Linked DNA regions of Oreochromis niloticus. The protein of the gene in region 3 interacts with the protein of the main gene of each other region in a pairwise test. Links are inferred from orthologs where the notes say so. Each region holds a gene or a part of one and is shown on either strand. Other genes may lie near its edges. The genes, in order: rpl35a, atxn2 and sh3gl3a.

Region 1 (10,484 bases), on a different chromosome or scaffold from region 3:
TAAGACTTACGCCTGGAGTCGATTCCAAACTTCATCCCAGAGTGTAGCCAAAGGGATCACACACTGTGCTGCACCACCCACACCTGAACACCCCCCCATCATCATCACCGTCGTCCTGACAACCTGACAGTCCAAACTCAGGACATGACACACCCTTTAAAAGACATCCCAGAATGCTTTGCTGCCCCCTGCAGTCAGAGGAAGAGTGAGACACCCCCGTAGATGAAGACTGTGTGTGCGTGTGGGACACAAAGAAGCGGGAGTCTGATCAGATTATTGATCACTTTATTGTTTCTGTACAAACAAAGAGCCGCCCCCATCTCCGCTTCACACCCGGGAAGGATACAGCATCTGCACACAAACAGGAAGTACACTGTCACAATAAAACCACACACAGGAAATGAACGTCAGAATACAACTACCACACAGGAGGAGAAACCACAGAAGAAGCAAGCGGCGAGAAGACCTGAGACGACTTTAGAGCATCGGAGCGGCGAGCGAGTTCGAAGATGTGGCAACAGTGGCACGAATGTGTGTTTCACACAGGAAGTGTGTCACACAGTGAGTGAACACCTGTGACAGGTGAGACCTCCAGCTGTGACTCCAAACGACTCTACGCCATTTCTGCCAAATATTTAGAAAACTGAGCCAATGAAACAAAGGGGCAGGGTTTTAACGACTTGTCTTGGAACCGCGAAACGAGATCATCAAACACGCCAACACTAAACCTCCTGTAACACCGAGCCAGTCTGACATCCCGCCGTGACATCACGCAATGGTTAATTGGAGTTGTCAGATCTGCACTCAGCTGCATTTTTTTCCTCTTTGTACTTTTTTTTCCCTAAATACTGCTCATCTGTACACAGAGCTGCCAACCCCCCCCCCACAGGTCGGCACTGAGTAGGAGCTGCTCTGTATCTCACTCTACATCTGTATAGTGCCAATAAAGACATTCGATTCTCACAGCTGCACACCAATAGAATCAGAATACAAGCAGCCGGGTGGAGCCGGGTGGAGCGGGCTGTCAGCCTGATGAACATGCTCTAATCTGAGTTTATTAATCTGACAGAAATGATGTGCAAACGCTGCTCAGCCTCCTCACATGTTGCTGTGTTAGAGTTTATTCATTTATTCAAATATTGATAAGCTTCCTCAGTGCTGCTGTCTGAAGCCCCGCCCCCTCAGTCTCACGGTCATATTGATTTCATGTTATAAATTAAGAACGTCGCCTGTAAACGATGCCTCCAGCTGTGGCTGGCGCTTCATGGTGAATAAATCAAACTTCAGGACCGAGCATGCTCAGACGGCGCTCTGAGCCGGAGCAGGTCAAAGTTCGCACTTTTGCTCCTGAAGCATGCAGAGAACACAGAAACGCCGCAGCAGCAGAGAGGCGTCTGTGAGGTCGTGACCCCAGCTGTTGAGGTCATGTGACTCACCACTCTGACTCTGTGTCCGATGGCTTTGGCTGGCAGGTTGCTGCTGAACTTTGCTCGCACCATCCCACTGCTTCCGTGCGCCCGGGTCACCTTCCCCCAGATCACACGGGTCTTGTTGGGCTTCCCGCCGGGTGTCACCGTGTTCCTGCGCACACACACACACACACACACACACACACACACACTTAGAAACACGCCAACCTTAACAGTAAATGAAAGATGGCGGTGCGGCAGCTCACTTTTTGGCCTTGTAGACGTAGGCGCAGCGTTTGCCGAGGTAGAAGTCGACTTCGTCCCGGCTGTAGCAGCCCTCAAGCTTTAGCAGCGCCGTGTGCTCGCGCTGGTTCCTCAGGCCGCGCTTGTAGCCCGCAAAGATGGCCTTACTCCACAGTCTGAAAGAGAGACAGCATCAGACATCAAAATCACCACCACCACCTGCTGCCACGCCCCCAAATCTGACCAATGGAAAGAGTTGCTCACGCTCCAGACCGAGCCCGACCGAAGGTTTCACCAACGTCAAAGCATGGTGTTTCTTTTTTGCCCAGACATCAGCTGATGGAGCGCATCCACGCCGCCACGGCTCACACTTCCATCACACGCAGAATCTGCACGCCACAGTCGCCAAACGCAGGAGGCGGGAAATAAATAAATCACAACAACGAAGCTACCCTCCGTATTTCTTTGACATCATCGTTAACCCGCTCAGTTCCTGATTCACGCCAACAGCCCAGAATAAAAGCCCCAATCCAAACTCGGCGTTCCCAGTCCACAGCCTGTAAATAAAAGATGTACACTGCCCATCACAGCAGACCTTAAAACATCTGAAGCCAATCAAACCTGCAGAATGATCAGTAAACAGACTGATCAATCAGCCCAGAAACAGCTGACACGATCAACATCGTCAATAAGCTGGAGTGGGAGGAGCCACGGGTGAACCTGACCCCCAGAGGCCTGTGGCGCTCTGGACTGAGACCAATCAAGATCAATGACATCAAGTATTAATTTATCTGCTGTCAGCATCCAAAAACAACCAATCAGTACTCCAGTTCTCATTGATCAGAGCCAAAGCGTGACCCACTCCACCAGCTGATGTCACTGTGGTTATTTCACCCTGCTCCTCCGATCTGTGAGGCTCGGGGGTCGTGACCCTGCACCTGCTTCACCTGCATGCTCCGCAGATCATCAGCAACGACCTGCTGACAGCGCCCTCAACTGTTTCTATAGCAACCAGGACCCAACTCTAAGGTGTTTACGTGTGAACGAGGAAAACAGATTTAGTCACGCAACATCAAAGGTGTGCGACACGTTACTGTTCACATGAGATGAACTTCTACAGTGACAGAAACAAAACACTGCTGCTGTTACACAGAGTTACTGTCCCTCTGTTTACAACAACGGCAATTATGCTTACTCTTTCCCTCCCAGGCTTCTGATTGGCCAACATTTCAACAATGTTAGGATTACATCGGCACCTGTTGCTTTGGCATGCTCTTGACAGCGTTTCCCTGTTTTTTGCGTTTACACAGGTACTTTTTCAGCCTAAAACGCTCCATCTGTGAACCTCCAACCATGACATCATCACCATCAGCGTCTCTGCAGCGAGGAACAGCAGCTCTGACAGATCACGGCCTGTTTGAATAAAACTTTATTAAACCCATCCCAGAATCACTGCACAGCAGACAGGAAGTCGCTCTGCACTCACGGTTAACTCGCTTCCTGTTAACACCCGTCTGCCCTCACCTGTTTCAGAGCTTCAGCAGGTTACATCACTCACACAGACATACATCATGTGAGCACAGAGTGAAATGATTGGCACTCACCTTCCAGGCATCTTGGTCGTTGTGGTATTCTTCAGGTGACTTCACCTGCACAGAAACAATCACATTAACACCTAAAACCTACTGCAGCATCACATGATCGACCGGCTCATGAGAGCTACGGCGCCGGTAACCAGCATGTTTTCTTGAGCTCTAGACTTTGTACCCGCAGTGTTTTCAGGAGGATACATCACCATGGCAACCAATAATACGACTTTATAGTGCCGGGCCCTGATAACTGTAGGTAGGTTTAGTCAGCTATGACCTTACAAGTGGAACACTGAGCATGCTGTTCTGTGACCTGATGCATTTACTGCTCTTAAAAAACATTTTATGTGGAATCAACATGTGCCACGCTACCAGGTAAAAAGTCACGTGACTTATTCAGAGGCATCTTGGACCACAGGTCAAGTGTCTGAGGTTGTCACAGAAACAGTGCCGTTTGGAATCCGTGTGATTCTGCGGTCAGCCCGTCACTGATCGATAACCGATGGCTCCCTTCATACAGCACCTAACCTAACCTAACATTCGGCTCTTTCCGTCTCATTATTTCACGAGAAACTACGAGAATTGGAGACAGCTCAGGCCGGTGGCTCCTCAGGTTTGACGCGTTTATCGGGGGAGCTCCAGCCCGCTGCGAGCACCGGGGCTCCCACACACGCTTTCCTTACCGCACGTGTGCGGGAGCCGGCACGCGCAGCTCGGAAGCCGCTCGGTTAACCCCGGCCCTGCGCTTCGTTAGCCGAGGCTAGCTTCGTTAGCCGAGGCTAGCTTCGTTAGCCGAGGCTAGCTTCTCTATCCGGAGCGAATCTCCGCCATCAGCAGCTCAAGCGTAGACACAGACTAACCGAGCAGCGCCGGGGCTCCTGCTCCGGCCCCCCGGAGGACTATCAGTTGCCCACCGAGCAGATTAACGGGCATTTTTCAAGAATGTGCCGGCGGACATGTTGACTCGTACCTGCACCGCGTCCGAAGAGAAGGAGAAAAAGGAAGAGCGAAAGGGATGCTGGGAAATTAGTGTAAACAGAGGTGCCCACGGAGCTGCCTGAATAGAAAGGCTCGTTTTATTTATTTTATTTTTAGATTTTAATGTAATCAAAGAAACAATTAAAAACACTTTTACAGAGTTTCATAATACACACGTTAATAATAATAATAATAATAATAAATGTTTATGGCTTCATGTTTTTGTCTTTGTTAATGTAATATTTTTAAAGTTAATTTTCAAAATCCACCGCATGAACGTGCTTTATTGAATATGATAATAATAATAATAATAATAATAATAATAATAATAATAATAATGATGATGTAACCTATTCAGTCACCCTGGCCATAAACTGTTCAGACTACTTCCATCAGGCAGGAGGTTCTGCAGTATCCGGTCCTGAACCAGCAGACTGAGAGACAGCTTTTTCCAACAGGCCATCAGACTGCTGAACACTTCATAGACACCTCACCTTCACTTACCGTAACTTCAACATTATGCACTCCATACTGTACATGAATGCCACTTGTTTTGCACCTCTGTATATTTTATTTTCATTTAATTTTATATATATGTATACACACACACACACACACACACACATATTTAGTATACATATTCAGTAATGTGCATATACATATATTTGTACTCAGATTCCCATTCTTATATTTTGCTTGCTCTTATGTTTCTTGTATTTTGCACACCTCTGTTGCTTGTGAAGCTTCCACACAAGAATTTCATTCGCATGTACTGTACCAGTGTACCTGCACATGTGATGTGACAATAAAAGTGATTTGATTTGAAATGACATTGAATTAAAATACAAATATTTGACTTTATTGTATCAATAAGAGGGCGGACTTGTGACTGTGTGGTGATTGGTCTGAACGGCAGCGTTACCTGTTTACCCAGAACTCCAACGTTGATTACAGTCTGTTTTCTCTGAGCTTCTCCATCAGCTGTCTCACCTGCAGACACCTGAGGTCTGCACTATGAAGTAGGATTGAGTCTTATCCGATGTCACCCCAGGAACAAACACCATTCCCCAGAAACTGCTGATGTCCTTTGGCTGCCCAGCGACAGCGTGAGGTGCTATCACCCCTGTGTGTACGCAGAGCTGCACGGCTCCACTGCCTCAGGAACGCAGAGGCCCTCATCTCCAGCTACGACCTGCTCCATCTGCCGCTATCAGCAGGAGACACCAGAGCAGTGAAACTCAGGCTGAGGCCCGGCTTCCGTCTCATAGCCTCCACAACACTAAATCCCACCCAGCAGATGCTGTTGTGTGCAATATGTTTTTGTTGTTTAACTAATGCTTTACTTTATGTGTATATGTTGACCTTTTTATATCCTTTACTGTTTTGCTCTTCCTTTCCTTTTCATACTTTGTTTTGTTCAGTAGTGCAGGGGGCGGAGCCTGATGTCATTGTTACAATCAAAGCACACTTTGGGGTTCCACTCATGTCATCATCTAAGATGGTCATGATGATGATGATGATGGCAGACTGTGCAGCTCCCCCCGCTCCCATCTCCACACACACACACAAGCTAATAACTGATGGGATGTCTGTTTGTTACCTGCTGCCATAACAACAAGATGATGTCATTATATATTCTTATTGTTTTCAGTGATGTATATTTTTCTTCTTACTGCTCCTATGTTGTCTTGTAAAAGCTGCTTCTTTCCCTGGCTCTTGCATCTTCAATATAATGATGAATAAACACTCATTAATGAGGAAACCATAAAGTCACTCTTTCATCACAAGAGCGTTTGGAACAGCTAAAATCATCAGCTCTGTTTCACACCTCGACATTGAAAGATGATCCATGGAGCTGGCAGTCAGGTCACCACCAGAGGGCGCTGTGAGCTGGAACAGCCTCACATTAAAGCAGAGCTCTGCTTCGTCTCACAGTGAAGCAGGTGAGTGAGGCTCAGGTTACACGCCTGCCCACTGACACGTGAAGTCTGATCAACACCTCACTCCTTAAACAGATGACCTTCATCATCAACATCATCTTCATCAGGGCTGGGCCATCGCTCCTTACCAGCTGACCAGCATCTGAACCTTTCAATGACCCAGTGAGCTGATGATGGTGCCCTCTCTGTTCTCACCTGTCATTAATCTCTCTCTTCCACAGCATGTCTTTATCCTGTCTTCCTTCCCTCACCCCAACCGGTCGCAGCAGATGGCCCCGCCCCTCCCTGAGCCTGGTTCTGCCGGAGGTTTCTTCCTTTCCACTGCTGCCAAAGTGCTTGAAGTTTTAGGATTAAAGCTGAATTTAAATAAATGTGAAATTCAGAGTCAAGGATTTGGGAGGTGTGATTACTGTGTCTGATAAGGAATGATATGACACCGTTTAAAGCAACATGTTACCTGGGGCTTCAGAGCTTCCTGTGAGGACACTGCTGCACGTACTGTAATAAACCATGCTGTTTAATAACACCCTCACTCCAGGACACTGCAGCATCAATGGGAGCACACACTGCGTGTCATTAAAGAATGTAAAGTCAGACTGTTCTTCATAAACAGCCCTGATGTGACACGTCGTAGCTCGTCCAATGGAGTCATGAATACTTTCAGTCATGAATCGGTGTTATATTATATTAGATGGCACTTCCTGTCCCAGCGCCCTGACCCGGGAACAGACTTGCAGACGTGACGTTCATCTGTGACAAATATTTCTACTTTATTCACAGAAACACAAAAAACCACCAAGGAGAGAAAAACAGAAAACATAGGAAACATTTACAGTATGAACACAATCAGCTGATGGCGTTCTCGTTTTTTGGCCACATGTTTTTCACCACTTCCTGTGTGTGGTGTTGACACAATAAAAGCATCAAAGCCATATTATAATATTTATTTTATGACTGAAACAGCAAAAACACACGAGTGGAAAAACAGCCGCCCATCTGACAGCCCGTTACGTGACCCGCTGCTGCCACAAGACGAGCGCCTGAAGAAGAAAACATTTGTACATCATCACCTGTCTGAAACCTCTAAGCCGCCTCACCTGTCCCATCAGGTTCACTCAGGTCTCAGGTGAGTCCACTGAAGATGAGCTGATTGGTGGAGGTGGTTCAGGGGGCGGGGCCCAGCCTGCTTGTCATAATTCAGGTTGTTCAAGTTGTGCTCTCATGCTGAGACTTCAGCAAGTGTTTAGTGTAGTGTCAGCATGCTGATGTCCTACGCCACCTGAACACAGCACCAGCCCCTTTTACTCATCTTTACAGTTTAAATTAAAAACACAGTCTTCTCCTCCGGTCAGTGAAGCAGCAGCAGCTCAGATACGTGACATCACTGTACACAGAGGCCATGCCCACTGTAGGACGGCAGGCTCACTGTGCTGCAGTTCCTCTAATGTCCAGCAGAGGCAGCAGTGAGTCAGCCCCACACACGTTTACAGCCTGATACACAAACTGTCCGGCCCGTTCATGACACCTGTTTGCATTATTAGGGGCGTGGCTTCTGACTGAAAGGTGGATGGTGACACAGGCGGCTACAGCTGCTAGCAGTCTGCTTCACCTGAACTGCACCTCCTGACTGTGTTTGTGCAGTTGGAGCCTTTTGGAGCTCCAGTTGGAGTGAGACGCTAAGCAGGTATCGCTTTGATCACTGTTGTCAGGACAAACTTTTATAAATAAAATTACAGTACAGCAGCGGTTTGCTTACTTCACTGACAGGAGAAGAACCCCCCCCCATGGTTGCCATGGCAACACGAACATCTCTGTTGTCATAGTAACACCCAGGTTTCGGCCTCATATACAGAGCATCATCAGTACGTTTCTATTTACAGGATATAATTGTACACAACAGTCGGGCCACCTTTACAAGGTGAAAAACGTCCCAGCATGCAACAGAAACCACCCGATCACCCTCATCTGTACATGTGACAAAGGTCCGATCAGGTGATCACAAAGCCAGGTCACATGATTGACCTAAACCACAGTGACATTAGTAAAAACTATACAGAGACGACATCCTGCCATTCAGAGTTCAGGGTTCAGACATCCTCCTCTTCATCAGCGGCAAGATGAAAGTGTTCACCATAATAAGGAAAGATGGAGACGAACAGAGCCGAACCGAACCACACTTTGCCCTCGCTGCTTCTTTTGGGCTATTATTAACTGTGAGCAAGTAGCTCACAGGTGGATGAGTGGCAGAAGAGTGGCCCCGCCCCCTAAAGCAAAACTAAAAGCATAAAAAAAAAATAAATAAAACTAAAACTAAATAAACTTTAAAAAAAACAAAAACAAAAAGGAAAAATAAATAATTACTTTGACAATATCAGTACTGGGCATGCTCAAACCCAATACTGTAACATTAGCATTTAGCAATCATGCTATAAACTAAGCCATCGTCGACTGTTTTCAGATTAGAAACAAGCTGTTACCTTCACCTGACTTCATCTTAGCTACCCTCTGTGGTTAGCTCGACATAAGAGTACCATTAGTGTTAGCTTTCTTTACCAGTTAGCCGTGTTAAAATAGTTTCGGAACACTTTTGAAATGTCAGTATCTTTCAAGCTAACTGTGTCAGATATAATATTAAGTAATGTAATCTAACAGTTCATAAAGTTAGTCTTATTATAGTCTTACGCAGAGTTAGCAGAGAGCCTATTCAATTTTAGATTACTGCTTACTCGTTAGCTTAGGCCACTTCCTAGCTGTAGTTCATGTTAACTCTGAACTCATCACGATACTTTTATAGCTACCTATTTCAAGCTAGTCTCCCAGCTAGCAGCTAGTTAACAGACTGCTACGCCTCACTCCCTGCAAACATGACTAGCATGATCGGCGTGATTGAACACATTTATTCTGTTTTAATAGTGTTAGCCTTAACAGTCAGTTACATTTTCAGACTGAAGCAAATCCAGAATCGTCACGGTTAGCAACGGGTAATCTGGGAATAGTTTTATTTCTATTATCATTTTAAAGTAAGCACACTCATCTTAGCCAGGTCACAGATAGCCATTAACTGTAGCTTACAATAAGTTTATCTTTGCCAATATTAACTTTAAGCTATATTAGCCACAAGATACATTAGTGTCATTTAAACAACAAAACAAAACTGCTGTTAGCTTCCATTAGCCCTTAGTAGCATTGCAACTTTATCTCAGTGTGAGACAGGACAGTTTCAGGTTTTATTGATCAATCAGCTGTTACTGAGAACATTAAATACTTATCTTTTTTTTTTTTTTTTAATTAAAGTGCTTTTCCCTTTCTCACTTCCTGTTTCTATGGCAAATGTTCATGTTAAACAGGAAATTCAGTGTGTCTGCAGCTACTGGGAATTATGAGTTTTTTTCTATTCCTTAATCTGTGTGATGTCACAGAGAGAAGCTCCACCCATCTACTGTTCAAGTCTTCTGCTTGTGAGATGCAGCCAATCAGAATAAAGCACGTTTAAAGGTGGAGGAGCTGAACCGGCTTGTGTGAGACAGCGGCTGAGCTGAGGCTCAGGATGACACGACTCACGCTAAGCCGCTCTGTGAGAGCCAACGTTGGAATGAGCAGAACGATCCACCTAACAGAGTTTTATAGTTTTGAGTCTTCTGTGTTTAACACGGGCTCAATAATTACGCATATTAGTTTCTAAGCTCCGCCCACACAGGTGACCGACTGCATGTAAAACCAACGTCACACAGATGTTAAACTGCACGGATTCACAAGAGAACCTGACAGGTAGAATAAACCACCTCCCCCTTTGCCTCTGGGTTATTTTTCTTTGTTCTTACATCAGATGATCATCTTACCCGCTTTACCTCAGACCCAGGGGTCAAAGGTCAAAGGTGGTAAGCTTTTATTTTTTCGGCTTGTCACACGTGGAGGATTTTCTTTGGACCGCTGCTCAAACACAAGCAGATGTGGCTTCATGGTGAAGGCACTCATTATTATCACTTGTAACAATCAGCACACACAGGCGGAGTAGATTAGCTCCGCCTACACCAGGTGCAGCATTAAAATCTGGTCACATTATTTGCCCCTTCCTTTCTGGTCTGCTCTGTGGCGCTGTGAGATGTGATGAGTGTAGCAGGTCCAGAGCGAAACCTCCACCCGTGAGAGGCTGATTTCTAACAAACCTTGCAGCGAGAGTAAAGATCAGTTCAGCTTGGCTCGTCTCCATCACTGCCCATCAGCTGCTCCCTCACCTGCAGAGCGACGGCACAGGTGGGATGGAAGCCCATTTCTGCCCACAAATGGAAACACACTCGCTGCAAACGTCTGAACGTTTTAATCTA
Region 2 (11,189 bases), on a different chromosome or scaffold from region 3:
GTCAGGGTTAAGCCGAAAGCTACTCAGCGAACGTGTGCTCGAGTTCTAGAGTACCTCTTGCCCAACCATGAAAACAGGGGCCAGGACAACTCCAGATCACATTTTACTGTTGACATAGATGCCAGGGCAATGACACACTGAGGGGAGCCAGCCAGGATCAACCCCCAGATCCAGTTTGCAGGGAAATATGGCTGGTTAATGATCATGACCATTGTTAAATAGGTCTAAACTGCAAAGAAATGAATATTATGTTTTTTTAAACATGTTCTACATTTCTGCCATGCATATCACACATAAAACTCATCTGCTGTCAATAAATATGAGTTTATGACTGTCTCATGAAATAAGATCAAACTGCCCTCTTCATGTAGCATGCATTGAGCAACAGCTTTAAAAAGATAACAATATTTCCATCACCTGTGTGGACCAGTAACCAAGCAGAAGAAGTGTCATTTTAGGTTACCTTGATGAATTTGTCTGCGTTGTTATCCTCCGACATGGTTTTGTGCTCCGGACAGATGAAGTCTGCCTCCCCAAACTCAGACTGAACACAGTGGAAACGAAGTGTTTGTGTCTTGTCTGACCTTTATAAAGTACCCCGGGCTGCACCAAGGCTTTCTATACTTCTAGTTATAACAGGAAAAGGCCATCGGGGCAAAATGATACTCGGCTACAGATCAACCAAAGCCGAGTGCCGTTCCCTTGGAAAACTGAAGCCCAGCAGCTGGTACGATTTAACGTTAGATCAGACCAGCTCGGCTCACAACCTCGGGGTCCGACTCGCTCTTCCAGTCGTCTCAAATTCACTGTAGTGACCATGTAGAGGGGCAAACTGCGAGCAAGGTGACCAGAAAAGAGAAGTCCAACAGGGACAAGTCCAGCACTTTTGGAGGCGCAGCGAGCAGGGGGACCTTATAGTGGTATTTTTAGCCAGCGCAGTGAGCGCAGTGCTCTGCTAACGCTGCGGAGACACTGAAGACTGGCCAAGCTGCTGTATGCTGCTACATTTCACGGTGAAAGCAGCCGATTACATAACAAAGACAACAGTGAACAATACGGCGGAACGAAGATACTCTCTGAAAATTAGTGATAGTACACTAGGTGACACCTGGGTTGATCTGACAAGAAGAGCACACCGCGTTCTCAGCAGCAGGACAATCTATTATGTCGTCGAGCCTTCTGACACGCTAGCTAACGAGCTAACTGAGTCGCGTCGGTTTTCCTGCTCCAGTCAAAGCTAGGGATGTTAAAATTCTCAGCAGACTGTGATAACTATAAGAACTCGTATGGAACAGCAACAATACATAGCAGATGACAGGAGCTATCGGAGACTGCATTCAGCGGTGGCCAAAAGATATCCGCATCTCTGGACTGTTTTGCTAATCCCATAGGGGTCTTGCCAGAGCAATACGCACAACGCCTGTCCGAACAGAACGCCTGATCAAAATTATTGACAACATTTCTAAATTTGGACAATATGTGAGGCTACACGTTTTAATCTATCACACACTACGTAATTTTCGGCGTATAATACATGTATTTGTATTTTGTATTTTTGAAACAACAAATTATTTTTTACAATCGAATACGTTTGAACTGGATACACTGTAATGGGTCCTTATAAGGACCTAGTTTTCAATGCGGACTCAAGTCCCATAAGCAGCATTGTAAACTACCAATTACTTAACAGTGGAAGAAGTTGAACTACAGCAGAACTACCCCTGGCGGAAATATAGTTAAGCTCAACTTAAAAATCTACACATTATAGGAAATTATATTATATTTAAAAAGTTAAATGCCAGAAAAAAACAAACAAACAAAATATCAACCATCACACTTTAATTCATATCAGAATGTGCTAAAATTAATTAATTAAGGTCATTTGTAAGACACCTACCTTCCAAAAAAAAAACTATCCCCTCAGGTGGAGGATCCATCAATGCTTTTACTGAATTGGAAATGTGTTTGGGATCATTGTCATGCTAATGGTACTGGACTGATAATTCCATCAATTTCCAGAAGATCCCAAACACCACTGGCTGAAATGCAGTCTCAAACCATAACAGAGCTTCCAGCGTGTTTTACAGGTGGCTGTAGATATTCACTGTTGTACCTTTCTCCTGACCTCCTCTGTACATATTCGTGACAATTTGAACCAAAAATGTCAAATTTAGACTAATCATTCCATCAGACCTGTTGCCACCTGGTTTCCATCTAGTTCTTGTGTAATTTGATATACATCAGTCTTTTCTCCCTGTTTTTCTTCTTGACAGGCACCCTTTAACTGACAGGCCCTCTGGTGAGGGCTCAGCAGACCAAATGCATCTCTTAAGGACCAGATAAATCTCAGGTGGTCTGTGTCAGATCTTTGCTGCATTTCCCCCCATATTTCTCAAGGACATGATTTTCAGATACTGTTCATCAGATGCAAACAGTTCTTTAAGCCCGTTGCTTTTTCTTTTGTCCTTCCCCTGTCCAGTTTCCTCAGTATGCACACTATACTGAGAGTTGCCACATTTTCAGCGTATCTGTCTTTGGTAATCACCTTCTTTGGCATTTTTCATAGATTCAACAAAAGAAATGGGGGCAAATTTTGCATTTTTGTGAAAGGCTGCTAATAACAAAGTCCCCAAAGGTACAATTTAAAATTGGTTCTTTGCTAAGATGGCTGTTATGTGTCGACACATCACATTGGTCGGTGTTAAGTGAAAAAATACTTAGTGGGAAGAATAAGAGAGCCTGGATAACTATTGCTCTCGACCACTTTAAAAATGCTAAGAAAGTCTGGCTTTGGAAGTAAAATATAAAGAAACGAGAGGTGGGTTTGTTTTTCTGAAAGATTCAATGTGGTACTTTTGTACCACATTGAATCTTCAAGAAAAGCTAAACAAACTGTCCGAACAGTTTTTGTTCTACTTGAATCACTCTGCAAATGCAAATGTAAATTAACCACAAGCAAATTATTGAGAAAAACTGTTCAACTATGTAGTGTTCTAGTGCCCAGGACTATCCATAAAGTGGTATGTAACTATGCGTGAGTGGCAAGTTTGTATGAACAGCTTATCTTCTGTAAACAAAAAGCTATTTATCGAATGCTAAATGTTTTTTATATTTACTTTATGTACATGTTATTTACCTTGTGGACACATGATTATATCTAAATGTTAATGCATGTGCACATTATAATTTACTACAGGTCTATATGTCAGTAACAGTGTCAGAAAACCCAGCTAATTATGTTTTCTTCGCACCTCAGAATGTCATACAGTGAAATCTATGCTGCTCAAGCACGTAAATAGGTGGAAATTTCTTGCTACACCACCTATACTACTATACAGTCCTTTAGTTAGTGCTCAAGTTATGTGCAAGAGAAGAAGGAATTTTATTTTATGACCACCCAAGGTGAAAATAAAACTTGATAAGTGGAGTTATCACCATCACATGCATTTGATGGTGTTAGGCACTTATGGGCTTTTATTTAGTGTGCACAAGTTATCTTGTAAGATTATAACTTGTCCAGTCAAGATAAGAAACATCATACCAGAGAATCCATCCCAGAGCAAGTACTAACAGCATCAGAGTATTGCACAGCACTGAATCATTCTATTTACAATTCACCAAATGTGTTTGTCTGTGGGTTCTTTGCTGTGTCGGGTAGATGAAGAAAAATAAATGGAACAAAGTAATCACAGCAAGACTTTGGGGTGGGGTTTTTATGTATTTACTATTTTTAACTAAACCATCAGTTGGGGGTACATTGTGGAGGACAAAATGGGAAAGACTAAAGTGTTATGACAAGATTAAGGAAAGGTCAGGTCATTGCAATTCTTTCTTTATGGTTGAAAAGCATAAAGCATTTTCTCCCTCTCTCACTTTTTTCTTTTTTGAGAATGGTTAGATGGCAGACCTTTGGGCCACAGTCCAGCTCAGATAGTGGTAGTGCAGCTGAAAGATGTTTGCCAACCATAATAAATCCAAAAGAGGAAGACAACAGAAAAATAGCACTAAATAGCACTTGATAGGCATACACTTTGTTCAGGATAACATCTTCAACAACAGCTTCAATATTAATACCATTTTAATAATTTACATGACATAAATATTTATGAATCTCATTTAATCCACATGCTACAACATTAAAGTGGCAAATGTATCCATCAATACCTACTTAAAGGACTATGTTTATCTCTTATTGTTGGTCTTTACATATGTTTCAGTTCCATATAAATTATGAAGTAATATCTTTTGATTATTATAGAAAAGAAAGTCCTGGTATTTCTTCATGCAGTGACTCATTATGTTAGACCAACAGGTCAAACCTTTGAACTTTTCTCAATAATATATTTAAGATTTGACAGTGGAAATTTTAAATGAAAAACAGGACAATGACAATTAATATTATTTATTTAAAAAAATATTGGAAATAAACTTCAGACACAACATCCACATGTTATGAAAGTCTTTTTTCCCAATGTTATTTATAATATTATAACATTATATTCATTTTTCATTTGATCAGAAATTAGTCTCTCTTTCTACTGAAAAAGAAAGACAGATGGAAAAAACCCAGGAAGATCAAAAGCAACATTCAAAAAATTAGAAGAAAATTAAAAAATGCTGAATTATGACTATCAAAATAAGTGCAGCATGATCCTAAATTGAATAAGGAAGAAAACAGATACTCGAATGAAAATCCCTTGCAATGACTGCCTGAAGTTTAAAACCCATGGACATCACCAAATCCTGTTTCCACACTTAAGTTGCTCAGTTAGGTTTTTACTGCAGCCACCTCCAGTTGCTCCTTGTTTGTGTCGCTCTGCCCTTGAGTAAGTGAAAAGCATGCTCTGTTAGATTGAAATCAGGTGACCAACTTGGCCACTGAAGAATATCACATTTATTGCTGTGAGAAACTTTTAGGTTGCCTTTGCAGTAGGCTTTGGGTCATTATCCATTTACATTCCAGTCAGTCTTGCACTATTTCTCTTTCTATTTCTCAGTTCCACTGGCAGCCCATACCTGCCCATGCAACAACATTGTCTCTACCATATTTGACATTGTGGGAAAATGAAATAAAATAAAATTTAAAAGGTATAGAAATGGGCAAGAAAACACAATTTTCAGGCTCATGTGCAGCCCTGGTTCCTATTGCAGATTTGTTTTGTATAAAGGGATGCTGCAAAAGAATTTAAGCACAATCATGCACTGCATAAATGTTTTGCAAAGTGGGAAAAAGTATTTAGACTTGTTACGTAAGTAACAATTCTAACTTTGCTTAACTACCTTAATAGTGCACAGGGTGTATAATTAAAATATATAAGTACACAAAGTTAAAGGACTCTCATTTTTTTGGAATGGCGTGTTTCAAAAATCATTATTTTTGACATTAGGTGACATTATTGAATCATTAGTATTTATTTTTTGAGGTTTAAATCACATTATTATAGATAAATCACTTTATATTATCAGTAACTTTATATAAAATAACAGAATTTATTAGAAAAACAATAATAAATTAATAAAGTAACTAATAGAAATAGTATAGTGTATTACAACTAATTACATTCAATATATATTGGAGTAAACATAACATAATAAGCAGCAAAGCATGAAAAAATTATATAAAGTACAAGAAAACAACTTTGGAAAGGGGGGTCAGATCTTAGGGGGATTGGTGCCACCCAATGCCCCTCTCCTAGACACGCCCCTTAGCCCTACTAGTTAGTTTTCTAGGTCTATTTATTTTATTTTACTTTGTTTTTTATTTGATGAAACTTTTTTTTATCCCTACTTTGTTTTAGTTTAGTTTACTAGACTGAAATCCTCTTTGTACAGCTGCCTTGTCATATCAAGATTGTGGAAGTTACACCAGTTATTAACGAAAAATGGGACTATCTCAAAGTGACCCTCCAATCCTGCTAATTGGAAACCTTCATGCTGCAGTGGATGCTAGCCATCACTATGCCCACACCCGCCGTGTGTGTGTGTTTGTGTGTATGTTAGTAGTGCGTTCGCCGGCTCACGTGGATGACACTACATAGTAATTGAAAATTCATGGACTTCCTGAAAATAGTGCCATGATGTAACTGTGTCGCTTTTAACACAAATGTCTGCATTGGGTTTTTACGTTAAAAATGGTCTTGTTCATCTGTTTACAAGATTAATAGTTTTCAAATAACACAGCGTATAAAAATATAGAGTGAAGTGTTGCGAGCCGTCACGCCTCTCATATCCCTCCGCTGTTTTTGTCCCCCTTTCAGGCTGTTTTGGTCTTTTCGCTGTTAGCAACGGAAAGAATCCGAGATAGCTGCAAACCCGATTTTGAGATAATAATTATATAACAAATTGACAAGAGGTGTAACACACATGTTCATTTCTGAAAAGTTACTAGAGCGTGTTGTCTTTTTAAAATATTATTTTTTTCAGTTTTAATAGGAATTGTACGGGTCGCTAATTTAGCTAGCAACTGTTAGCCAGGCTAGCTGCTTAGCAAAGCATCCTCCTGAACAGGCACGTTGACTTTAGCCTGCTGGCTAAGCTAGGTCTTCGGATTGCCCAACGTTAGTGAGGTACCGCACAACCGCACACCGTCTCAGCGTCAAGAAATTGCGGCGTGAAACTGGTCTGTTAAAGACGCTGTCTTTTATGGGATCACCATGTCAATGAAGGCCGGTGGAAATCGCAGCAAGCCCGGCGGTGGTAGCACCGCTGGTGCAGCCGCCGCCTCCGGTGCCGGAGGAAGCGGCGGGGGAAGACCGAATCTGGGCAGGTATGTGAAATTAAACATTAACATAGCGAAGCAAAAACACAGCAAGGAGGGTTGGTTTAACACGTTTTCGATATTTGGCCATAGTCACTGCCAAACGGTAGCGGTTGTAAGAGATGACATTGCCGTTAAGTGGTCCAAAACTAGTGCGTGTTTGTGAACGTTGTGCGGGCCTTGCGACGTGTTGGTCAGCCAGTTGTGCAGTTCAGCTAGCGAGGCCTGCCTGTCTGTTTGGTCCAGTGCTGTTGCAACTTTCGACGTGACATTACCTGCTCTGGCACGTTAAATCAAACATGCCACCACGAGGTTGATTTTGCATAAATACATGTTCGGGTGGACATTTATCTTTCCTCATATGTGTGTAGTACTAGTGACGCTGCTTGCCAAGTTGCTGATATCAGTTTACTCTAAGCTTGAAGCCAAGTCAGCTAGCGTTAATTAGCCAATTGACAGCCTATGCTTGCATTTCAGTTTTGTAACAGTTGGCTAATGGGGGACACGCAACTGCATTTGTTGTGTTTTGGCTGCCATGTAGCTTTGTACGTTACCGCAACATTGCTGCAACGGGGTTGCCAGGAAATGGATATAAAGCGTGTGGGCGCTCAGAAGAAAGGGGCGGGTGTGGAAACGGGGGTGAGGTGGAGGAGGAGAAGGGGGAATTACAGACCGACTGGCTTTCAACCTTGACGTTGCCATTGCTGTTCGTGAGAAATAGTGTCCTTGAGGCATGACTTTCTCTGTACACGTTGTCCCAAGATGAAGATAAAGCACACTGTCAGTGCATGAACAGCATGCATGCTGTGATTTTTGGTGGTCAGGCTGCTGTTCACCGGTCACTAGGACAGCACGCCCCATTCATTGCGTAGGATTCATCGTGAAGATGCTATAAATGAATATTGGACCAGTTTATAACCATGCTCACAAAACCTGCACATTACAGCTCAAAATGGCATGGCAAAGTGTGTTTTAGAAAGCTTAGGGCTGATTTACTGCAACGGATATAATATAGGGGTTAGTGGCCATTGCTTACGTTGAATGGTTGGTTATGTGCCAGCTGCTGAACAAGGTGCATTTTAGGACATGCCTGGGAAAACTGTTAGCTGCTGAGTGTTTGGCTCGATTGCATCACAAACATCATTATTATAAGCATAATGTTGTGGAGACACTGGGGAAATTTCAGAATTTACATTGCACATTGATCAAGTAAGATGGCTGTGTTGATGGTTGTGGTGATGTCTCCACAGCTGGAATCGATAGTGATGGTAATAAATCTTATATTTGATAAAACCAAAGTGATTTCATTTTCATGTCTGCAGCTGCAAACATTTCACATGTGCTCTTCAGTCATCATCTCAGTAAGCATCATTATAAGACCCTCATGTATTCTTAAACCTGGTTCTCTGTAGTTTGCTACAAGTGATTGTAGTATGCAGATACGTGCAGTATGCTTTGAAAGTATATTGTAGAAATGAGGTTAAGGTTAAAGCAAATTATATAGCTTGTGTTGATCAACTTCAAGTGCAGTTCTGTATCATCTTAATCACTGCCTCTTATGATTTCTCTTAGTGAGTTGCACATATCAGAGCATGTGCTAAGTGAAGTCTTTATTTATTTTATTTTTTACAGTTGATGGTGAGTTTGACAACAATTTAATCAAAATGCGATTTTTATTTTTTTCTGTCCCTCAGGGGGAGACACAGTGGCAAAGGTCCAGCAGCAGTAAGTAACCTATTATCTCTCATATACATTTGAGAAACAAAAATACCTTCAAGCTTGAGTATTTTAAAACACACTTAAAAAAAAAAAAAAAAAAAAAAAATACAGATTTTTGAACATAGTGATGGTGTTTTTCCTCTTGAGGAAGGCATAATGTCATTGGTGGGCACCAGAATTTTTCTTATGCAGGAAAAACCCTCACAATGCTTTAACACTTCTTTTTCTTCTTTCCTTGTCAAGTTTTTGAAAATAGTTTCCTGTTTTTAAAGCATTTTAACGCCAGAGAAAGCATAAATCCAGATATCGCATATGCCTTTTTAATTGCATTAAGAATGGAACAAGTTTATTGGTATTCCACAGTGATGAGACATTATTTGGCATCTTTTTTGTGCTCAAAATGGGAGCATCAAAATTAATTGTATCTTTTCTTTAGGTCATTTTCAATGGTGTATATGCAAATATGAGGATGGTCCATGTCTTGACTTCAGTGGTGGTACGTTTACTGTGTGCCTACCTTGTTCCTTTTTTTTCTGTGTGTAATGATTATAAGAATATGCATAGTTGTAAAATTCCTTGGATGAAGCAGCCATGTGAATCATGCTTACTCTAAGTGAATTAGTAAGAACAGTATTTACTGCAGTCTGTTTTACCACATGCTGTTTCTTCAAATTGTTTACACAGCACTAAACAAAGCCTGTTTGTAGAGACAGCTGGTTGCATAAAAGGAAACCAGTGATTGATCAATCACTGGTTTGCCTTGCAGAAAAATGGGTTTCTGAACTTATATTTTTTAACATGTAAATTAAAATTTGTACTGAACGGCACATACCGTATATAACGACAAGCCTCTTTAATTGTAGGGGACCAAGTGTGAGCTTAAAGTGAAAAATGGAGCCATCTATGAGGGAGTATTTAAGACCTACGGCCCAGAGGTAAGGCTCATGCATAATGTGGTATTCTTTATTGTGCCAGTATGGAGGGAAATCTGTTACTTTCTCACTAGCTGAATATGATTAGGCTTAAATGTGATGGAGTCTTGCTAGCACTTGTTAGTAGTTTCACCCCTAAGGTGGTTTAGACCTGCATTGCTTTTTCTGATATGTGAGCCTTTACCTTCCCTTTTAGGTTGAATTATTTCCTAAAAATAATAATCATAAGTAAATTTGAGGTTTTCCTCTAATTCAGATCTAAGCTAGTATGCTGATGCCAAGATTACACCAAGTAGTTTAATTGATAAGATCCTCTTTTATGTGATTTATTTGACTAATAGTTAAAGTAAGCCCGCTACAATTTTCCAGATCTTTAATTCATAACCATACACCACAAATCTTTCTTGTGATGCTTAAAACAGATCACTTGAGATTTCTCAATATGTTTTAGTTTTAGGGTTGTTCTTGAGATTGTTTATAGCTGTTTTGTTTCTCTAGCTACTTGTGGAGTATGATGAGCATGAAAGAGTTCATTGTCCCAGTCTCCTGTGTCCATAGTTTCTTGTGTCTTTTGCAGATAGTGTTTTTTTATTTTTTTATTTTTCTGTGTTTCAAATTATATTTTTCTCCCTCAGTGTGACCTGGTGTTGGATGCAGCCCACCGAAAGAGTACAGAACCGAGCACAGGGCCCAGGAAAGAAGATATTGTAGAGAGCATCATTTTCAAGGCTTCTGATGTCGTAGTTGTGAACTTCAAAGATGTGGACCTAAATTTCGCAAGGAAAGGTAGTGTGGTCATATTTGTATTTTTTTAGTTATTGAAACTGGAGATGTTATCTTGCGCATATTGAAAACTTATGGATGATGTACAGTGTTAACTGGGTGAGTTTGTCACACTGTTCATTTACACATACGAAAATATAAACGTATGTCAGTGAATTCCCATCTTTGCATACATACAATGTATTACCCTTCTCAGTCTTCTCTATCTTGATGTTGCAGAGGCTTTTCTGTGAGTTAAGTCTTGTGTGTCTGCTCAGAGTGGCCAGTCACTGAAGTCTAATTTGATCTATCGATTGGTCCAAAGGTTACCCTAGTGCGACAAGGACACTCAATAAAGGCTGAAGGAGCCTGCTTCATGTAATTCATGTGCACCCATATGATTCTGCTTTGAACGATAATGGACTCTGTGGGAGAGTTTTGTTGTCTGAAAATATACAGGCGTGAAGGTGTGAGGGGTTTTGCTTCATGATTTGAAACTATGGCACTACAATGATGCCACTTCACTTTAACAACTTGTGAAGTGAGTGAAATTTACACAGAAAGATAAAACATCAAAAGTACCAATGTTTGTCTGCTTGCCCCTTTGTTTTTTTTAAGAAATGCAATCTGTGCTCAATAAGTGATCAGTTGAAATCATGGCATGTGAGGAGTGCGCTAGACATGGCTTGACTAAAACTCTGAAAAATAGACCCAAGCTCAAATTGTTAGAATTGAGTACCTTTACAACTTATATCTAGGTGAACCATATCATAAATATGTCTGGTATGAATTTAACTGTTGGTGTGATTGCCAGTCATTTTATCTGTCAGTCATTCTTCTGACTATCTGTCATCTGTGTGTCTCTCCTTTCCAATGGTCTAGTCTCCTCAGACACAGGTAATCTATGGCTGTTTTCTCCTTTTGCACATCTTTGTATGCACTTAAAAATATGTACTGTGCTCTTATAGTAGACCTGTTAAATTAGAATATTAAATTAGAAATGGAGCTGGGCGATATAA
Region 3 (10,809 bases):
GGCATCTGAGACTGAAGGGCTTCAAAAACAAGAAACGTCTTCGAAGGCCTCGTCTCCTTGAACGCCACCGAACTGACCGTTTGGACTTTGCTAGAGAGCGCCAACATGGGACATTCAGGCGCCGGTGCTGTCAGGTATCTATTTAAATTTCTCAGTGAGACACCGAGCTGGATCCTTTCCGCTTCACTCACATGTTTCCAACTCGTCCACTGATGTTTCAAACCTTCCTTTGCCGTTTACCTCGTATGTTCTGTTCACGGCACTCAGTTCTTGGAGGCTCGTTTGTATACCAGAGTTTTATTAGCTGCCTGAGCTCTCAGAGGAGTTCAGATAGGTCTGCAGGCCTTCCTCGGGTCTTTTTTTCAACACCCAACCTGTCGAGAGTCAAATCTGAACGAGTAAGGCTCGTCGAGTTCATAAGTTTTAAGCACCTTAAACCAGATGATCCTCCTGGATCGCCCTCCCTGGTCCCACTTGATTTGTCAGGTTATGTCTGTGAAGGTTCTCAGTCATCCAGGTCATCGTAGTCAAAGGAGTTTGCAAAGAAAAGCGTCTGGACTTCTTTAAGTTGCTTGAAGACGTTTCACCTCTCATCCGAGAAGCTTCTTCAGTTCTAAGGTCAAATGGCCGAGAGTCCCAGATTTAAACCCAGTGGGAGTATCCCCCCAAGGAGGGACAAAGGACCCCCTGGTGATCCTCTAATCACATGAGCCAAGGTGTGAAAGCGGGTGTGGGACCTAATCAGCCAGGGTTTCGGGTGATCTGTCAGGTTACTTTATCTGTACCCGTAGGTAGATTTGTTCTGCAGTCGTGAGTCATTCATCCACACATGAACACTCTCAGTACAGCCATAACAGACAACAATAGCAAATACAAAACTATAATATGTTCATCTGAGTAACAGCTGCTGCTATTTTTAAAGCTTGTTGTTTTACATTTTGGGAGCAGAAACCTCCAGAAGGACGAAACTGAAACTCGCTGTGCAGCGCATGAGTCATCCAGGAAAATTAAACCAGCCAACCGCTGTAACCGTGTGCTGTGCTTCACCAATCAGCTGATTGACTGAGTTTTTTCAGATAAATATCCAAACACCAAAGGAAAAGATCAAACGGATGAAGGATGATCAAATCAACGTGGAAACGAGAGAGGCTTCTCGAGCAGCAGCGCTGCGGCTTCCTACACACAGCGTCACGCTTTGCTTTAAAATTAAACTTTGAATCAATAACTGTTCCAAAATATTTATAACACTGAATACAGGAAAAGAGAGTGCGTTTCCTAAAATCAATGTTCATATCAGGATCATTTTAACTTCCACTTGTTAAAGTAACATAATCCATGTATTTTATTTTATTTTGTAACAAAAGTTTACCATTTTTGCCTCCACAGCTTCCAGTGGTGAACTTCAGTGTCGACACCACCCAGATGTTCTCTGACAGCGATGAAGACCCCAGTTTGGGATGTGACATCGTGCACTGGAACACAGGATGGAGATAGAAACGACTGCAGAATACTGACCAGATGCAGAAATCTAAGTTTCAAAGTATCTCTGCAGAAACCTGAAGGCTTCGACGGTGAGATGAAAGTTTCAACATTCATTTATTTCCCAGAATAATCTCAGATTTTTACGTTCAGGGATGTGACTGCTCTGCTACGCGTCCACCAGGACAGTTTTCCCCTGGAACCAGTCCACTTACAGTACTGTGAAAATATTGCATATAAAAATTTAGAGCTACTCACACAGCAGCACAACATTATCCATATTAATCTTTAAAATTATTGATTAAGTAGGATCGTTTTTCACAGTATTTAGCTCACTGCATGTAAGTAAAGTCAGCTTAGAGAGGCGAGCTTCCCGGCTTGTATACGAGTCAAACATATGCTTTAGCAATAACATTAATAACAACACAAACAGACCAAACAGTACTGCAGTATGCTCATGTACTGGTGGACATAATACAGTAAGCTAAAGTAAAAATGTATTTTAATAAACTCAGATGATCCCTTCAGACTTTGTGAGCTCTCATTTCTTATAGTTGTCACGCATGTCCCACTACGCTGTGCAGCCTGTGTCGCAGGTACTGCATGGTTCAATAGTTTTATGCAGTTTTTATCAGTGTGTGGGACACATGAATGCAGCAGCTCTGGTTTTGTTCAGTTGTGCATTGTGTGGGGCACTCGTGCATATAAACCATGGGCATTCATATGTTCCACACATGACATCAGTTTTTACATGAACACTGAATCTCGCGATGGTGGTAAGTAAAGCTCCACACAGACATTAGAAACCATCACACTGTTTACACAGTGCACCTGAAATCATGAATACAACACTATAAATGGAAGCTGAACATTAACAGTCCCATCAGTCTGGTCAGTTGCGAGTGCAAAAGTGTGCCAGTATAAAACATAAACCATAATAATTATGCACATCTCCAGCCCCAGCATCTATTTATAAATACTGTTAGTTCTGAATGAATATGACAGTAGTGTATAACGTGACTCTCACTGTACTGCTCCATGATGCTGATCGGGTGCTGCTGTGTGGGATTGCACTCCTGTTGTGTACAACCAGGATTCTGCATTCAGGGTTTTTCCATAAATCCTTTGCTAAGGATTTGATTCTTTGGGATGAAGAAGGAAAATCTCCTCGGGGTATTGAAGGGTTTCGTCTCTCTGCAGGTGTGGCGTGTGAGCACTGCGGTGACGAGCAGTATTCACATGATCAACTGAGGCATAGGTGTCGGAGTAAATCGGGGGGATTTCTCACAAAAATCATTTTTCCGCTCTGACGCTCGCTGTGACTTTCTGATGAACTTAAAGTGACAAAGACCAGGAGAGTTTGAGTTTATGTAGTAACTGTCTGGGTGCTGTTCTCTCGTCTCCTGCTGCGTGTGCTCTGGTGGTCTTACCTGTAAAGATTTCAGTTTCATTATAACTGTCTGTAAACTGTGAATAGGTTCAAATGGGCTTTAATTATTGTATTTTCCTTCATAACTCACAGACCACCTAAAATACACTAGAAACACAAACACGTGCAGTAACAGTACAGCTAACAGGACTACAATACTCACTGTAAGGCAACAAGTAACTGAAGTCTTTCTAAAAGGATTTCTGTCAGGAGATAAGCAGGAGACAAAAGAACACAAGAGCCAATCACTGATGAGGAAAGGAAGTGAGACAACGTAAATAAAGCAGGCAACTTCACTGCACATTAATAATATTACAGATACTGGCGTCATTTTGTTATTCAGTTTCTTCTGTTTGTCCATTACGCGTGACTGTTCTTTACACACAGCCACGTTTCCACTCATAGTTTTGCTGCACTTCATTTGCCCCAAACATGGATAAAGCACGTGGAATTGGCGGGATTTGCTTCTCTTTTCCACAGTTTTCAGAATAATGTCATTAATAACATGACAATGTAAAATCTGGCACTGAAACATACAATAAACTGTCTTTAAATTTAACTTTTCACATTTCAAAGTACTTTATATCCACGTGTTACTGTAATCTAAACTTCCAGCTGATAAACAAAGCAGAGGGCAGGCTGACGATCGTTCCTCTCCTTAGCAGCAGGTGGCGCTGTTCAGACGTCTGTAGGAGCCTCAGAGTTTGCACGGACTCTTTTAATATTTCATATTTGGACAAAACTCCTAACATCTGGCTCCACGTGCAGTTATTTAAATAACTTCAGAGGCGTTATGTATTTGTAGTCACGTCCGTTTCTGTTTCACGGACTTTCCTACAATTAAAAAAGGAGCAGAGCGTGCACTGATTGAAATGTTGAACTGAAAGTGAAACGCGTCGCTGCCTCAGATCTATAAGCTGTGTGAACACGCAGAGCGTGATTCATGTTCAGGTGAGACACTCAAATTCCACACAGGAAATACAGTTTGTGCTGAGAAAGAGCCGCTGATGGAGAACAGGGATCCGCGTGGGAACCTCAGGAGGCGCAACTGAACGGAGCAAAGACGCTTATTTACATGATTTACGATGACGTGTGAGCCACAGACACGTGCGTGGGACTGAATAAATAAATATATCGAGTATATGAACGCTTCATCCTGTTTACGAACAGGGTGACATCATCAGTTCTCCCCGCTCTCACCCAATGGTCTTTGAGAAGTGGCGACATCTCTGAGAGTCAGGAAACCCTCTCTCCCGGAAAATAAAGCGAGAGTACGTGAACGCAACTTCCGGTTCCTTCTTTCCAAAATAATACCCACACCCCCGCCTCAGTGTGAGTGTGACAAAACATTTCACACTCATTATTAAATATCCATCCATCCATTCGCTTCCGCTTATCCTTTTCAGGGTCGCGGGGGGCGTTGGAGCCTATCCCAGCTGTCATAGGGCGAGAGGCGGGGTACACCCTGGACAGGTCGCCAGTCTGTCGCAGGGCCAACACACAGGGACAGACAACCATTCACACCTAGTGGCAATTTGAATTATCCAATTAACCTATCCCCACAAGCTGCACGTCTTTGGACGGTGGGAGGAAGCCGGAGTACCCGGAGGGAACCCACGCAAACACGGGGAGAACATGCAAACTCCACACAGAAAGACCCCGGCCTGATGGTGGAATTGAACTCAGGACCTTCTTGCTGTGCGGCAACAGTGCTAACCACCGTTTTTGTGAATTTTTTTTTTTTTCAATAGATGTATGACGTGATAACCTTGAGTTTATTTCTTTTATTTTTATTCTCCTTCGTCCAGAACCTTCATTTTCTTCTTTAAAATGTATTGTTATAGATCTATTTATAGTCCTAATATGCTACTGCTAAGAGCTACTTTTTCGTTTACAGAAATGTGGAACTTCAGAGAACCACATATATGCATATAAAATACGTTTTTAAACCTATTTTTTCCAACAGAAACAGGCTGGACTGGTAATCTGGCATGTCGGGCATTTTCCCGGTCATTTACCCACCGACCCTACACATGCTGACAGCATCCATTCGCTTATTTACATTACCGACACTGCCCAATCAAATCCCTTAACTCCTCCCCTCATGCAACTTGTAAAAGAGAGTTTAGCTTGGAGGAAGTGGTGAAAAGGTCAAAATGTGTCAACAAAATGTGTCAAATTTAGCACCAGCCGAGAAGACGTGCAGGAGGAGGGACAACAGCAGAGTGAGGAAGAGGCAGAGAAAAGTGAAAATAATGTGTTCAGAACATAGAGGGACTAAGTGATCCTTTCTATTCAGGTGCTGTGGAGAGCATCCTCACACAGAACATCACATCCTGGTATGGGATTAGCTGTGTTCAGGACCGAAAAGCTCTTCACAGAGTGATCTGTGCGGCAGAGCTCTGCTGCAGGTCTGCTCTCAAGTCGAAGTCAAAGTAAACTTTATTGTCATCTCTGCTATATACAGTACAGTATATAGAGAGAAGGGATGAAGAGGCTCCAGTTACATTCAGTGCAAAAGACAAGCACTAAATATAAGAAGAGTAAGAAATAAATATACACTTTAAGACTAAGGTAAAGGGATCAATAACAGGATCTCCCTTCCCCTCAGGACATGTACACCAGGAGATGTTGGTCCAGAGCAGCTCGGATATTAAAGGACTCGTCCCATCCCAGCAACAAACTGTTTTTGCAATCAGGCGGAAGGTTCCACACCATCAGGGCAAAAACAGAGAGCCTCAAGACCAGGCCATCCGAGTCCTGAACCAGAACATGCCCCCACTCCCCTCATAGCATCACCATAAGGGTCTTCATATCATATTCTTGTTACACTGCAGAACTTTCACTGTCATATTTCATATCATATCTGATTTAGTACATTGCTCTGCTAATGTGGCACAAAGCACTTTAACATTCCATTTGCACAATGTACACTTTCAGTTTTTTTGATTTAAAATTTCGGATTTTTAATTTGGATTTACTTATTCATCATCATCATCATCATCATCACCTTTATTTATAAAGCACTTTAAAACAACCACAGCTGACACAAAGTGCTGTACATTGGAATCGTATAATAAAATTACATAAGATATAAATAAAAGCCAAATAAATTATTTATTTATAATGTTTTGCACAGTCAGGACACATTTCACTGTGTGTTGTACTTTTATGACAAGTGGCAAATAAAGAATCTTGGAATAATCAAGGATTCACGTAAAATGCACGACCACTTTGATCAGGAGCCACTCCTAACAGCTTCAGTGTGCAACAAAGAAGTAACCCAGCAACAACTGTACCAACCGAGAAACAATTTCAATATCAGGAATCAAACAAAATGAAAAATACACATGCACACATCATATTCTCCCCCTCAAATACATTTTTTTTTAATGTCCAAGTCCAGCCCTGCTGCTCAGTGATGTCATGCATTTATTATCATTTAGCTTTTTAAATCCTCGGAGACCTTTATTTTGAAGGAGTTCCCGGTTGGGCCGGCCTCACGCCGTTGGAGCTTCACTGAGCTCGGGTCATGCTGCAATCTTAACGGAGCTGACTGATGAGTGCGGAGCTGTGGTGTCGGCTGCTTCGTTCTTGAGCCCAGCCTCCGTCGGCCGTGTGTTGAGTCGTTTTACCGGAGTATTTTGTGCGGGGTTGAAGCCGTTCGTCCAGGATGTCTGTGGCCGGGCTGAAGAAGCAGTTCCACAAAGCCAGTCAGGTATGGAGGCGCCCGACAACAACAGTTCGGATGTGGACCCTGATCTCCGCTTTAACATCAAACCGTGAACGGAATCAGGCTGTAGTTGGTCTGAAAACACGACGAGTCTGAGTTGTTATCGCTTAAAAATCGAGGGCTTCAAAACGTGTTTGCAGGGTGTGGATGGAGCGTTACTTTTCCACCCAGATAAGTTGTTTTTTATCGGAGATAACGTCACACCAAACCCTGCTGGGAAAATCTGGTGATTTAATTTAATTTCACACACACGCACAAATCTATTCATCTTAAGCCACAGTTATGGACTTTTTATCAACTTATGTAATCCGCTGAGTAATTCGTCTTCATTATTGTTGCCTTATAAGTTTGACACGGTCTTGTGAAACATCAGACTTTGCTGTTTCCACTGTAAAACCAACAGGAAACACTAACAGAGAAGTACACGTAACTGTATTTATTATGAATGTTTTGAGAGGCTTTAGGTCGAGGTCTGGTTTGATTTTATCCCCTGAAAGGAAATCACACATGAAGCCCGTGTTTAAGGCATCATGGCGATGTTTGTGGGAACTGAGGCACCAGCCAGATGTTTCACACCTGTCACACCTGCGCCACACAGTCATTTAAAGGCAGGTGGAGCAGTCTTTATCAGGTGCATTTCACTCCCGGGCTGTACGGTTTGTGTTATCTGGGTGAAGCTCCATCAGACTCAAATACCTTTTAACGTTACATGATAAAAATACATTGAGCCAGTGGAAGGACCTGCTATTCCCACTGCCACCAAAATACACTGTGGTTTGTGGGCGGCTGTGAGTAATGTCTAACATTTGAATAACATGGAAACAGCTCACAGACTGTTAGTCTCAGTGAACCTTCATCTTCATCTATAAATAAGAATTTGCTCCAGTTATCAGTAGATCACAGGCTGGTTTCCATCATACATAGATACAAGCTTCCATCAGTCTCAGCGGGATTTGCTAAACAGCACTGAATCTGTACTTTTGAATACTTTTGATAGCATGATATGTACTGGTGATGCTGGTTTAATCAGCTGAGCTTGCATGATTTGATCTCTCTGTTGCGTTTGATGCAGCAGAGCATGCGAGAAATATTGATTTCCATCAGTATTGGTGACTGTGCTTGTGGCGTACCACAGGGCTCCATTGTGGGCCCTTTGTCACGTTAGCAGCTGTTCCTTGTGTTCATATTTAAATCACTTTTATGCTGATGATACTCTGATATATCTGCACTTTAAACCAAGCAGAAGCCCCTAATAAACTCCTTCAAATGAAACTAAATCAAAACCTGATGGTATAGAAGATAGATGTAGCTACGATTGCCATCTTGTTGTTTTTAAAAATGATGTTAAAAAGAAGGATTCTGACTGTGAAAGCCGAGAAGGACCAGGATTTGGGAAATGTTCTGAATGTTTGATTCAGTATGTCCGCGTAGCTTCTCATGGTAGTCTGAAGAACTTGAAAAAAGGTGGTGACTGGACTGTTTTAAGAGTTCTTTAACAACCACCTCCAAAGGGGACAACCCCACCCAGGGGTTAAATAGCTGGGACTCTCCACCTTTGTTTTTAGAACTGAAGAAGCTTCTTGGATGAGAACTGAAACATCTTCACAAACTCAAAGAAGTCTGTTTTATTCAGTACGACCCCGAATGAGTCACTGAGTATCGAAGTTTTAACAGAGGTCGGGGCACAGCGCGTTGTGGAGCTGCAGGTATCACCCCGTGGTGGAGATCTGTCATCAAAGCGAGCGTCTTCCTTTTAAGACGTTTATATACATTTTAAACCACTTCTTTCTTGTTGTAACCTTGAGAATGTTATCTCTGCTGTTCTCTGATTTGCCTTTACAGTTTCCGTCCAGCTTACCGTTGTGTTTTTATGTGAATGGTGTAAACTGTTTTTAATCATGTCCCCTGAATAGTTTCCAGCTTGTTTTTTGGTTAAACGTGTTTCAGATCTGGTCTCAGGCTCAGTGGGGCAGTAGAAATGAACTGATTTGATTTGTCGTAGGAAGTGGGACTTGTGTGTTGGTTTTAGTCTATTTTTATTGTGTGTTATGTCATCACAATGCGTCGTGAGAGCAGGAAGACACAGAGGGTATCCCGCGGATTGCATTAGCCCGCTGAGCTAACAGTCAGTGCAGAGGTTTTTGCTGCGGTTATTGAGGCAACTTCAGGTTTAACCCTGTTTGTGAATGTGGTAAACGTCTAACTGGGATAAATCGCCACGGTAACTGATGCTGCAGACCCAACCTGCTCCGATGCACTTATGTTTGAGATGAGCGCTCGATAGGTATGAAGTCACCACTGACTGACCAATAAGATGTCTGGAAGATAGCGTCAGAATTCCTGAAAGTTCCATCAGGCCTCAGAGAGTACGGAGCATCAGTAAGATAAAGACTCTGAGTCACAACTTTATAGCTGATTCTATTTTTTACAGCCCTGTAAGCACTGCTATCTGATGCCACGCCTGTTTGTATTTGTGGACTTTATATCAAAACTCTGTTTACTCACACAGTCGTCACTTTTTCTGCTTCTACTTCCTGCTTCAAATAAACTGCACGCAGCAGATTGGGAAACCCTCACTTATGGACTTATGGACCTGATAACCACCTCGTGTGACCACTTAGCCTGATCGATGATGAAGGGGAAGATATCCTGGATCCTGTCAAAGTCGCTTCATAGTACAGACTTGCAGATGAACCTAAACTAAAACGTTAAGAGCTTGGTGTGTTAGTCTTCTTTATGCTCCTTTGTGCGTCTAGTAGATCCGTCGTTTCCAAAATGAACCTCGTGTTTCATTTAGGCTACGTTCACACTGCAGGCGAAAGCGCATCAAATCCGATTTTTTCGCCCCTATGCGACCCATATCCGATCTTGGTATGACAGTGTGAACGGCACAAATCCGATATTTTCAAATCCGATCTGGGTCACTTTCGTATGTGGTACTGAATCCGATACATATCCGATGTTTTAGAAAGCGACTGCTGTGTGAACTGTCATGTCGCATTAAATCCGTCTTTTACGTCACTGACACAAGACAGACGCCAATTATCAGCGCCGGAGAAGCGCCCGATAGGACATCGCGAACGATTTCTTGCCATCCGGTGAAACTGTTGGGAAGACCACGTTGGAGAAATGTGAACATTTTATTTTTACTGTATTTTCTGCAGATTCTGACAGAAATCTGCAACTATCCTTTGAAGCACCGCTCCTCTAAAACAGCAAAAAGGATCATTATTAGGTTATTTACATTATTATGTAAATAACAAAATAACTTAAAGCAAAAATTTGGAAACATAAAGTCTGAAGTCTTTATATTAAGGGCAATCAGTCAAACAATATTGTTTGCTCTGGGTCTAAACAGAGCGAGTTGTGTGTGACGTCTTCTTTTGCGCATGCGGGCCGCTTTGAGCGTTCACACTAGAGCGCGTTTGATGTCGCATTTTATGTGTAGTGTGAACAAGCAGACAAAAAAATCGGATTTGCTCAAAAAATCGGAATTGAGCATTAAGACCTGCAGTGTGAACGTAGCCTTAGTAAGACTGTAAACTCATCAGCAGGGTGTGTAATGAGCTCAGAGATCACGTGAGCAGCAGGCTCGTCTTCTCATAGACTGTAATCAGATTTCTTTTATAACCAGAGGAGTCGCCCCCTGCTGGCCATGAGAAAAAAGTGCTGGTTTGAGGTAATATTTCCGTCTTTGGTTTCCACCTTCGTGGAGAGCTGTGAGCAGCTCTGCTCAGCCTCTCTTTGAGGCCTGGCTTTGTTTCAGTCAGTGCTGATTTCTTCTCTTTCCCGGCAGTTAAACACTCACAGTGACAATGAGCCGTTACAGGCCTGGACCTGTGTTATTATTATCTTTAGCCACATAACGCGATAATTAGTCAGCTAAAGGCTGCAGCCCTGTGTGACTGTGCGCATGAATAAGAGAAAAATAAATCCATAATAAAGAGCACAATCGAACCTTTTATTCATCAGTGACCGCCTGTGTTCAATATTGCTTTAAAAAAAAATTACTTTATATTTATATAAATAGGATAGATCAGAATAGAATAGATCAGAATAGCCCTTTATTGTCATTGTACATGTGCAACAAAATGTGGGTGCTCCACACCAACTGTGCCGGAACAAAATATAAACAGTAGACAGCAATATGTACAAAATAAGAGAAAGG

The links.
Region 1: the proteins of sh3gl3a (region 3) and rpl35a interact in a two-hybrid assay, tested with the Homo sapiens proteins (2 studies listed by BioGRID and IntAct). The link is inferred for Oreochromis niloticus from reciprocal best matches to the Homo sapiens genes SH3GL3 and RPL35A.
Region 2: the proteins of sh3gl3a (region 3) and atxn2 interact in binary tests that used the Homo sapiens proteins (3 or more experiments, as listed by UniProt). The link is inferred for Oreochromis niloticus from reciprocal best matches to the Homo sapiens genes SH3GL3 and ATXN2.

What each region holds. Positions count from the first base shown.
Region 1 is NC_031979.2:39,854,738-39,865,221, reverse strand, and holds rpl35a (large ribosomal subunit protein eL33), read right to left. Parts: upstream 4,308-10,484; 5' UTR 4,212-4,307; intron 3,302-4,211; 5' UTR 3,268-3,301; coding exon 3,257-3,267; intron 1,829-3,256; coding exon 1,676-1,828; intron 1,582-1,675; coding exon 1,437-1,581; intron 352-1,436; coding exon 328-351; 3' UTR 269-327; downstream 1-268.
Region 2 is NC_031977.2:24,314,726-24,325,914, forward strand, and holds the start of atxn2 (ataxin-2), read left to right. Parts: upstream 1-6,010; 5' UTR 6,011-6,653; coding exon 6,654-6,766; intron 6,767-8,451; coding exon 8,452-8,482; intron 8,483-8,912; coding exon 8,913-8,972; intron 8,973-9,339; coding exon 9,340-9,411; intron 9,412-10,043; coding exon 10,044-10,194; intron 10,195-11,052; coding exon 11,053-11,067; intron 11,068-11,189. Other genes in the region: mapkapk5 (MAP kinase-activated protein kinase 5), read right to left, coding at 464-499. UniProt on the Homo sapiens protein: Involved in EGFR trafficking, acting as negative regulator of endocytic EGFR internalization at the plasma membrane.
Region 3 is NC_031965.2:38,966,608-38,977,416, reverse strand, and holds the start of sh3gl3a (endophilin-A3a), read left to right. Parts: upstream 1-6,402; 5' UTR 6,403-6,581; coding exon 6,582-6,626; intron 6,627-10,809. UniProt on the Homo sapiens protein: Implicated in endocytosis. May recruit other proteins to membranes with high curvature.